Linked DNA regions of Oryctolagus cuniculus. The protein of the gene in region 3 purifies or fractionates together with the protein of the main gene of each other region. This does not show direct contact. Links are inferred from orthologs where the notes say so. Each region holds a gene or a part of one and is shown on either strand. Other genes may lie near its edges. The genes, in order: PARK7, TPI1 and ENO1.

Region 1 (3,645 bases), about 770 kb from region 3:
GCTGCCCCCTTCTGAGGGGACAGCACCTCCGTGCCCCCAGCTCAGCAGACCCCACAAGGAAGGGCAGGAAGGGCAGCCCCCAGGCACGGTACCTGCGCAGATGGCCGCTATGAGGCCCTTCCTCTTTTCTTGTTCCTTCAGGATCTCCTTCACGGCCGCAGACTGTCAAAGAAACCGAAACACGTCAGGCTGCCATGGGGCCGTTACACCAATCCCTTGCTTGGACACTGCGGCGGCAGAACCTCAGTTGAGCTTAGCTCACGAGACCAGCGATCTACCATCCTAGGACCACTGGTCCATCACTAACCTAACAGTGACCACATGCACGGTGTGTCTGGACCCCTGGCCCGACAGAGGGTTTGTCCTAAGGGAACCTTATCCCTCCACCTTCAAACACAGGAAGGAAAGAGCGACTTTGTTGGTTTGCCCCTTGCCTTCCTGTTTCCCAGGGTGAGAGTGGGCAGGAGGAGGCAATGTGGGGTCTGGGGCGCTTCCAGATGGCGGAGCAGTCAAGGCCAGCGGGAACACTGCTCTCCCGTCTGCTGGGCAGGCTGAGCCCCCGACAGTAGCGGTGCCAGCCCTCACGGCTCCCTGCAAACCCCAGGGTCGCGGGCGGCCGCACGGCAGTCCAGGCTGGACCCTTCGCCAACACAAAGCCCAGTGACTCTGCTGCTGGCGCGGGAAACAGGCATCTCACTGGGGGCTGCATTCACAGAACCTGTTCGTGAACAATCACTCCACCAGTTCAGTGCACTTCCACGGCAAGTATGACTAGAAATGCCGTCTGCAGTAAGGCTAGAACACGCATGTTCCTCTGGGTGGTCTCCATTTTATCCACAGCCCCTCCCTGAAATAGCTGAGCTACAATGTAACCAACAGAGTGCACACTTCCTCAGTCTTCCCGCCTGTGTCCCCAGGCCCCGCCCTGCTGCTTTTACCTCAGACAAATTCTGTGCACCCAGGTTACCTCCCGGCAGGACGACCACATCATACGGGCCCTGAAACAGTTCAAAAAGGAGAAAAAACACGGTGACAATCTAACCACGCTTTCACATTTTACACGTGGGACTCGAGCAAAATACAGGCAGGAACCTGTGTAGGTACACCTGTCAGTGGGACCACAGTGAGATAACGGTGGCCCCGACACCGCTGTCGTCAGCAGAGGACACAGGCTCCTCATGGCCGGAACACGTAAGCGTGGCCACGCTGCAGAGCGACAGGTGCGGACAGTGTCACTTGCAATCAAACACAAAAACACAGGTAACCCACATGTATGGTCAGGTCTCATGTGTGTGCACACAGGGACTCAGATAAGACACAAACACATGTAATCTATGTGTACATGTGTATGAACATGATCCACCCGCTCGCATGTGCACACAGGTGCTCATACACAAAACACGGATAAAACATGAAATAAAACATGAAGTCTTTGTGCATGCATATGAGCATGTACTATATGTGTACGTGTGTATGGACGTGACACACCTGCTCATGTGTGCACACAGGCACTCACAAAGGGATGTTCTGTGGGCTGGGTGGAGGGAGACGGGCAGGACGAGACGGGGACACCTGACACTCGGACTCTACCGTGTGAACTGTCTTCAACACGCATGTGCACAAGAGAAAATTTAAAAGGCATGGAAAAATATTTTTAACTTTATGAAAAATGGAACTTGAGGAGAAAAATGATGCGATATTTTAGTATCTCCGACACTAAAACACCTAGAGAGCTCATTAATGTCAAGCCCTGGAGACACAAAATGGAAACTGCTTGAACAACACTTGACGATGCTCAAAGTTTTAAGAAAATTGTTAGTCATTAAACAAACTACAAATGAGAACTTAGTATACACTCAGTACAACACACACTTTTTAGAACTAAGATCGTAAGCATCTTACTGTAGTTTTAAAACCAAACAAAACCCAAAAATAAAATATGTGACGTATAGAATTTTTCTGGAATCTGGAATGAACAATAAATACCTACGAAAGATACCTGCTGATGGGAATACCCGGCACGACAGGATACAAGAACACTGAGGAACAAAGCTACTTCTACTCAACAACCCAGCTGTGAGGACCAGTATTCTAACTCTTGAAACCTGGCGATGGACTACCTGAGGCCAGCTCCGCATGGAAGCAGGCCCCGCCTCCCTCCCTCCATGCAGCTGCTCCAGGAGGGCACAGCCCACCTCCTGTCCCCCGAACTGGGCAGGGAAACCAGCTCCATCGCCCTTGCAAGTTACGAACCATAATTCTAGATACTGAAAAAGTGACACAGGTTAAGCAGATCTCTTTACTTCTTCCTTAATCCCAACACTAATCAAGTCTGAGCTGCTCCACGTGAAATGAATCACAGGCCATCTGTGTCACTATAGAGAAAAAAGTAAAAGGTCGCTTAACAAAGGGGAGCAGAGAGAGGATTTAGTGCATTAAAAAGTTAGAATAGGGTGCTGGCATCGGGGCACAGCAGGCTAAGCCATGCCTGCAACGCTAGCATCCCATATCGATGCTGGTTCAAGTCCAGGCTGCTCTCCTTCCAATCCAGCTTCCTGCTAATTCACCTGGGAAGGCAATGGATGGCGGCTCAGGTCCCTGGGCCCCTGCCGCTCATATAGGAGACGGGCATGGAGTTCCGGCTTCAGCCCCAGCTGTTGCAGCCATTTGGGTAGTGGACTGGCAGATAGAAGATCTGCCTCTCTGTCTCTCCTTCTGTCACTCTGCCTTTCCAAAAACCAGAAGAGGAGGAAGGATGCCTGTGTAAGGAAAACGCTTCCTCCGGTGCCTCAGCAAGGCATCCCCCCCGCCCCCGCCCCCAACACGCCAAGCACCGTGGCATCAAGGAGTTCCACAACGACGGAGTGGAAAGGTGAAGCCCCTGCCCTCCCAGTACAGTTACTGGGAAAGACATTCAAGCAAAGTAAGTTTCTAAAGTACGTCTGTGCTACCAAGTCTTAGACGTATTCACAAGACATTTCAGGAAACTAGTAACAAAGTCAGATGAATCATTCCACAAATGGAGAACAAACCTCTTTTTTTGCATCTTCCAGACTGGCATCAGGACAAATGACAACGTCACGGCTACACTGTACAGGGTCCTTCCCAGCCAGACCGGCAACAGTGACCTTAATCTACGAGAAAGAAGTCATCACGATATTTAAGAACACCGACACATTTAGAATGACATTTTCACAGCTGCCCTACATTTTAAAATAACTTGACAGGAAATACTACAAGCCAACCACACTGAATTTGAGCTAATATGTTAGCTAAACGTATTTAATAACTAGGTCTATCCCCATTCCCTGACAGTCCCAATTTACAGCTGCTGTCCTAGCACCATGTCTGGCTGAACACCCTTTCTCCTACAAGCATTCCAGTTGGGCAATACATTATAGGACCGTCCCATTAATAACTCCTTCTAATAATCTTACAAGGTTACTATTGCCATTTAGAACTTTATGATTTCTTTTCATTTGAGATCGAGAGAGAGAGAGAGAGAGGCCACCAATCCACTGGTTCAAATGTCTAGGGGTCGGAAACTCAATCCAGGTCTCCCACATGGTGGCAAGGACCCAAGTACTTGAGCCACCACCTGCTGCCGCCTCCCAGGGCACAATAAGCAGGAAGCTGGACTGAAAG
Region 2 (4,394 bases), on a different chromosome or scaffold from region 3:
ACAGAACCTGGGAGGGGAGCAGAGAGCTTGGTTGGGATCTGCATGTCTAAGCAGGGATCAGTCTAGGCCTGAGCCCACTCCACCCAAGGCTGGAGCCGGCCCCGCTCACCTCCGTAGATGATGCGGGTACTCTGAGCCACAGCGTCAGAGACGTTGGACTTGAGCCACCCTCGGAGCTTCTCATGGACTTCCTGGGCCTGGAACAAGAAGCCAGACTAGGTAACACCCATTCCATTTCCAATGCCTCTTGCTCTAAGGAAAAACATCCCTAGCAGAGTGGAGACAGTTCATGTGGTTTCCAGGCAGGAGCCCTGGGATCTGAGTCAGGGTCCCAGGCCTTCAGTGCTAGGGAGGCCCTGCGACGGAGACCCTGGGCAACTCGATTCTCCTCATCTTTCAAACGAGGGGCTGCCCTGGGTGAATCTAATGCGAGACAGGAGAGGCCAGGGCTCCAGGGCTAGGTTACCTGTTGGGGTGTTGCAGTCTTGCCGGTTCCGATGGCCCACACAGGCTCATAGGCCAGGACAACCTTGCTCCAGTCCTTTACGTTATCTGAGGACAGAGAGCAGAGATGGAGGGAAGGGCGGGCAGGGGGAGCACCCCGCCCAGCGCCCCAGAGTATGCACAGTGATGAGGGTCTACTGCTCCCTGGTGGCTGCTGGAGGACCTCCAGGCAGCACCTAGACTTTCAGGGGGAGGAGCAGAAATGCTAAGGCCCCTGGCAAGGAATCTCTTTTCCTTTCCTGAGCCAGCATGGGGATCAAGTCAGGCCCAGGTATCTCACCCCACCCTCTGTGGCTGTGGCCCCGGACGAGGCTCGGAGGGCCCCTCCCCAGAGGTACCTGCGATGACCTTGGTTTGCTCAAACACGACCTTCTCCGTGATGCCAGCCTCCCTTTCATCCAGCTTCTCCCCGATGCAGGCAATCACACCAAGGCCCTCTGACAGGGCGTGGGCCACTTTCTGCCCAATCAGCTGTCAAGGAAAGACGTGGTGAGGCGTTCCTCATTCCTCCTGGGATAAGGCATCTCTTACCTCTTCTGCTGGCTACTAACCTCATCTGATTCCCCAAAGACATGCCTCCTCTCAGAGTGGCCCAGGACCACCCACGTGGCTCCACAGTCTTTGATCATGCCAGGGCTAAAGAAGACAGAAGGCCACCGGTCAGCAGGGAGCCACACCCTGTGGCTTTGCCCTCAATGAGCAAAGTGAGGGAGTGGTCCCCAGACTCCCCCCCTCTCTGCCTCCACCTCACCTGATCTCCCCAGTGAAGGCCCCGTTAGTCACTTTGTAGCAGTTCTGTGCAGCCACAGCAATCTTGGGATCCAGTTTCTGCCGGGCAAAGTCAATGTAGGCAGTGGGGGGTGCACAAACCACCTCTGAGGACGAGAGGGGGCACAGGATCAGATCAGAGGAAGCCTTCCCTCTGCAGACTCCTGGCCTCCTTGGTTCTGCTTCCCTCCCTCTCCACTCTAGCAAGATGACCTTTGCCCACTTCCCAGCCAGCTAGGCCTGCACCCAACTCCTGCAGCTTTCCAGATGCCCCCGTCGGGCCGCGGCCCTCACCCTGCCCTCTGCTCTTTAACAGCTGTGGCTCCAATTTCCTCAGGCTATTCTGGGCATGGGCACCTCCCAGACTCAGCATTCTCTGGGGCCAGCCCTGCCTCCCTTCTAAAATAGCCCACCCCTACTTTGCCCAGCAAGGCAAGGATTTCTTGGCAAAAGGGAAAGGGTCCAACTCCTCGGGTTTGCACTGGGGTCTTTGGGGAAGAAACCAGGAAGGGATGCCTCTTGGATGAGACCCGTGGTTCCGTGATTCGGGCGGGTGAATGGGCAAGGATGGAGGCTCGCGCTCTGCCCCTGCCGCAGGGCGCTGATGAGCTCACAGCGGCCTTGCGCTTTCCCCCTTCCAGCCTGGGGAAGGCTGTAGGCCAGCTCCTCGCTCCCAAACGGCTCGGGCCCTCCTTTGGAAAGCAGAAGCCGCTCAGGCAGCAGAGGGGAAGGGATCGGAGTGGCTGGGCGCAGAGGCCTCGGCGGGGCGGGGAGGAGTCTCGGGCTACGTGCAGCGGCGCACGGTGCCGGCGCCCAGGAGCAGGGGGCTGGAGGCCCGCGCAAGCCCAGGCCCGACCCCCGCGCGGGGGCTTGCAGCTTCCTTCTCCCTATCGCCCAGAGGCTCAAGCTCCGTTCCTACCCCCCTGAGCCTGGCTGGTGCAGCCCCAGCCCGCGCCCCGGGGCCATCTTCTCTCAGGGACCCGAGGAGTCCTTTGGGGCCCCCGCAGCCCGCGGTCACTGTGAAATGCCCCGCTTCTCCCCTTCTGGCATCGCGGCTGGCGGGCCGCTGTGCCGGGGGCCAAGGCCTGGACACCCAACCGCCCTGGTCCCCAGCCCTGCACCCAGGTCCACGCGGATGCCGGACTCCCCCAGCCCGACCCTTTCTGCGAGGCCTCACCGGTGTCGGCCGGCACCTTGGCTGCGTTCAGGGTGGTGATGAGCTCCCCCAGGTTCTTCTTCCTTCCGTTCATCTTCCAGTTGCCCCCAACGAAGAATTTCCTGGAGGGCGCCATGGCGCTCGGGCCTGCACACTGAAGGTCAGTCCCGCCGTGCGGCCGCGGCTGCGGCCGCTGCCGGCTTATATAGAAAGCCGAGAAGCGGAACTCCGCCTCCTGCCCCGTCCCCGCCATGGCGGACCCGCCCCTGCCTCTCAGCCCGCCCTCCAGCCCGCCTGCTGGCGCAGGGCTCTGACGTCGTCTCCCCTTCTCCTAGCAACATTCTGGGGGCGTCCGGGGGCTTGTTCAGGCGCTTCTGCAGAGATTGCCCGACTTCGGGAGAAAGCGGAACGGAGAACTCCTGCGACCGGGGGGACCCACTGACGACCTCAGCCGCCCAGAGGCCCAGCGGCGGCTCCAACTTGGCCTCGCTCAGACCACATTGCTCAGTGGGGCTGAGAAAAGCGCTGAGGGTGCATCTCCAGCTCTGGGACAGAGAACCCTCTGGCCCCATCAGAGCAGCTCCATCCAGCTCGTCACAGGCGCCCCAGGAGGGCTGCGGAGGCGGGGGGGGGGGGGGGAAGCCCACGCCGCCAAGAGGTGGTTTCGAAGCTGCAGTAGCCCCCACCCGCAGGGGCCCCCCGGCCCCCTCTTGGTTCTAGCTGGCCAAGGCCAGCCAGGGGCTGAGGCCCCAAGCTGAGAACCCGCTGGGCCCTGGGGGCATTTGGGGGCTGCTTGGACCCCCTTCTACGTGGCTGCCAGAAGGGCTCTTCACCCTCCTCTCCCCTTGGCTCTGCACTTGCCCATTCTCCATTTCCCCAGAGCTCTGCGACTAGAGAAAAGCAGAGCTGTCTGTGCAGCACACGGAAGGGCACGCGGCGACGAGCTCCCCCAGCTATCAGACCGGCCACAGTTTAGCCACTGTACTTTTATTCACATCGTGTATTTTGGCATTTTCCACAGAAGGACAGGGAAAAGACAGGATGGAGGACTGAGGCAGGAGGGCAAGGGGGGGTCCCCATGTCCCTCATATCCCTCCTTGCCCAACCGCACAGGGGCAAACACAAAGGGGGAGGGGAGTCACAGGCCCCCACCCCCTGGAAGGGATGCACAAGCTACACCCACACCCACCCACCCACACTCTCACGCACGGACACTCACACGCACGCACACACACAAGACCCTCCCCTCCACACCAGGGGCCTGGGCAGGGTGACACAGAGAAGCAGAGCACTGGATTCAAGGGCCGGGAAGCAACAAAGACTCTGACAGACAGGCGGGCAGCCCCCTCCTGTCCCCTCCCTGCTCTATCCCCCGAGTCTAGAGTGCCCCTCCTCTCGGCTTGGCCATGCTCCTGTGGCCTCCAGCTTTCTTCCAGCTGCTGGGGACAAAAAGAAAAAGGGTACAGAGCAGGGGGGCGCAAGTCCATCCCGCAGCCCCTGTCCCTCATGCCAGGTGGCCAGTCCCCGCCCTCAGCGTAAGGGGTGCGGGCGGGCTCTTAGCTGGCCACTCTCTGGTAGAAGTAGATGTAGCCCAGGTCCTTAGGCGGCTTCTCGGAGGCACACACTTTCTGGTCGTTGTAGATCACCCATCTGGAGGAGTAGGGGAGGCACAGAAAGGGGTGAACACACTGGGCATTCCATGTGGCATCAACTTAAGTCTCAGACACAGCCCTCACCTGGTGGGTCTGGGCAACTGTCTGCCCGGATCCCCAGTCTGCTGTCTGAGGGAGCGCTGTCTCGCAGGGCCACTTCCCCTATTTCGTGTCCTCAGATCCCCGAATCTTCACCACCACCCCCATCCCTTCTGGGGGGCAGGGGGTCAGCAGACCTCCTGTGAAGGGCCGAGGAGTGCTGCAAGCCACCTGGTTACTGACACAACTACTCAGCTTTCCTGCTGCTGTGTGAC
Region 3 (2,347 bases):
CAGGTCTTAGGAGCGGGGCTGAGGTTACCTCAAGAGAAGAAACCCACCCAAGGCCTGGAGACCCTCCCCTACTGCCCTCCAGGGGTTGGGCCCCCCAACCCCTAGAAGCTGGCTCTGAGCAAACAAGCCCTGCAGGCCAGGGCAAGGGGCGCAGGGACCTCCCCTTTGTTAACCCTTCTGCGACTTGCTCTCCGCAGGGACACACCATAGTCTACTTTGCCACACGCTCAAGGGACCAGCAGCCCCACACCGAGGCTGAGCTGTAAGGGGCTGTTCACCTGTATGTTGTCCCAAATGTCTGCCCCGACGTCTCCCAGCTCGGACTCACAGAGGACGTCGCTTCCCGAGGGACACCAGTGGTCCTCCCACCTTTGACCTCAACAGCCCTTCCCGAGACCCTATGTGAAAGTCCTCTGGACCCCTCTTGTTGGCTCTGGCCATGACCGAAGCCCACCCACTCCTGCCCTGCCCACAGCCCCGCCCACACACGGCACCGTCACAGTCACTGAGGCTCTTTATTCTGCACAGATGCTGCCTGTGGGGACCTCGGAGGTGACGGGAGGAGCACGCAGCTCCCGGGCTGGCGGGAAGCAGGTGAGGAACCACGACGTACTAGAGCTGGGTTCCCAACGGGGTCCAGCTGCTCGAGCTTGGCTTCTGCCCAAGTTCTAAGAAGCGGTGGCAGGAGAGGGGAGCTAACTACCGCAGGCCCCAGCGAGCACTGGTCGGGGGCCTGGCGCTGCCGGCACCAGCGTCGGGCAGGATCCCATCAGCCGGCTGGGGCTGACGGCTCAGGCTCTCTGGGCCACAGCTTACTTAGCCAGGGGGTTTCTGAAGTTCCTGCCAGCAAACTTGGCCTTGCTGCCCAGCTCCTCTTCAATTCTGGAAAGGGAAGAGAAGAGAAAGTCAGATCTCAGTGTGGTACAAGGCTGCCCCCTACAGGTGAGGCCCGGACCTCCAATTAGTCCAGCTTCTGAGACGCTGGAACAGCCCAGCACTCTGCTGCCCCCGCCCCTCCAGGCTGCTGGACTGTGAACAGCCCAACTTTTAAATATGCAATGACAGGAGCGCCCGGCTTCTACACAGTGCCGGGAGTAAACAGGGCACAGAGACAATGGGCGGAGTGCAGACTTGGTTCTGACCTTGCAGAGCGGCTACTGATCTCGGCTATGTTAAAACGAGACCTCCCCCAAAATACATTTACAGGTAAAATGACAAAATACCCAGAATCTGTTTTGAAACGTTCCGGCAAAAATATAAAGTGCGTGGCAAGCCTCATACCCGGGGGATGGGGAAGGAGTACTTCCTGTGGTCACCCTGCTGAGCGTGTCTGGAAGCTTCCAGGAGGAAGGGACAGGACACAAGAACTTAGGAAACGGGGCAGCGGGTTAACCTGCACTGCCAGCTGCTCCAGCTCCCTAATGCACTTGGGAAAGCAGTGAAAGATGGCCCGAGTACTGGGGCCCCTGCCGCCCACGTGGGAGACCTGGATGGAGCTCCAGCATGCTGGCTTCTGCCTGGCCCAACCCCAGCCCGTGCGGCCATCTGGGGAGTGAACCAGTGGATGGGCGATCTGTTTCACCCTCTCTGTAATTCTGCCTTTCAAATAAATAAATAAATAATAAGCCTTTAAAAACTGGTAAAACTTATATGAAGTGGATGTGTTCTTCCCCCGAGTCCACAAAAGCCACTAACACAGGGCAAGTCTTCCGGGTCTAGGGGCTTGCCCAGGACACGAGCAGCCAGGAAGGGGGAACCAGACGTCTGGCACGTTGCAGGCTGCCTCACCTCCCTAAGCCCTGGTGCCCTCATCCCAAGAAAGGATCAATGAGAATCAACAAATCCTCCGCTAGCTGTGAGGCTATGGCTGACCTGCTAAGGAGTCCTGTTCTCTCACCACAAGATGGCGGCACTGCACAGAGCGGCACCTCGGGCAGCTGCTGCCAGGAGCCCTGTAGTCCACCTGACTGCTGGGCCTTGGCTCGGCGCGCCACAGCCCGACCTGTGCCCACCCCAGAGCCGGGGGTTCCTGGCGGAGGGCAGTACCCCCAGTGGCTGCCCTACGTTATCGGGAACGCTGCATACCTGAGGAGCTGGTTGTACTTGGCCAAGCGCTCAGATCGGCAAGGTGCACCAGTCTTGATCTGGAAGGAGACAACAAAGGTCAGGCTAGTTGCAGTGGATGCGGGATCTACGTGACTATCGGGCAAGCAGAGGGCACCATGGCAGAGACGGGAGTTTGTTAAGGAGGCCCTGGGCCCTGGGAAGCAGGGAAAGCTGGGGCAACCGTCAAGCACAGTAGCTACACGCGGACACGAGGAGAAAGTCACAGACACGACTCCCACTC

The links.
Region 1: the proteins of ENO1 (region 3) and PARK7 fractionate together in Homo sapiens (co-fractionation; 3 studies listed by BioGRID). This does not show direct contact. The link is inferred for Oryctolagus cuniculus from reciprocal best matches to the Homo sapiens genes ENO1 and PARK7.
Region 2: the proteins of ENO1 (region 3) and TPI1 fractionate together in Homo sapiens (co-fractionation; 4 studies listed by BioGRID, with this or other methods). This does not show direct contact. The link is inferred for Oryctolagus cuniculus from reciprocal best matches to the Homo sapiens genes ENO1 and TPI1.

The regions. Positions count from the first base shown.
Region 1 is NC_091438.1:159,767,562-159,771,206, forward strand, and holds part of PARK7 (Parkinson disease protein 7), read right to left. Parts: intron 3,135-3,645; coding exon 3,033-3,134; intron 999-3,032; coding exon 939-998; intron 163-938; coding exon 93-162; intron 1-92. UniProt on the Homo sapiens protein: Multifunctional protein with controversial molecular function which plays an important role in cell protection against oxidative stress and cell death acting as oxidative stress sensor and redox-sensitive chaperone and protease.
Region 2 is NC_091440.1:102,652,185-102,656,578, forward strand, and holds the start of TPI1 (triosephosphate isomerase), read right to left. Parts: upstream 2,944-4,394; 5' UTR 2,682-2,943; coding exon 2,450-2,681; intron 1,380-2,449; coding exon 1,256-1,379; intron 1,141-1,255; coding exon 1,056-1,140; intron 976-1,055; coding exon 843-975; intron 553-842; coding exon 467-552; intron 198-466; coding exon 110-197; intron 8-109; coding exon 1-7. Other genes in the region: USP5 (ubiquitin carboxyl-terminal hydrolase 5), read right to left, coding at 3,985-4,078. UniProt on the Homo sapiens protein: Triosephosphate isomerase is an extremely efficient metabolic enzyme that catalyzes the interconversion between dihydroxyacetone phosphate (DHAP) and D-glyceraldehyde-3-phosphate (G3P) in glycolysis and gluconeogenesis.
Region 3 is NC_091438.1:159,001,112-159,003,458, reverse strand, and holds the end of ENO1 (alpha-enolase), read right to left. Parts: intron 2,145-2,347; coding exon 2,086-2,144; intron 883-2,085; coding exon 813-882; 3' UTR 502-812; downstream 1-501. UniProt on the Homo sapiens protein: Glycolytic enzyme the catalyzes the conversion of 2-phosphoglycerate to phosphoenolpyruvate. In addition to glycolysis, involved in various processes such as growth control, hypoxia tolerance and allergic responses.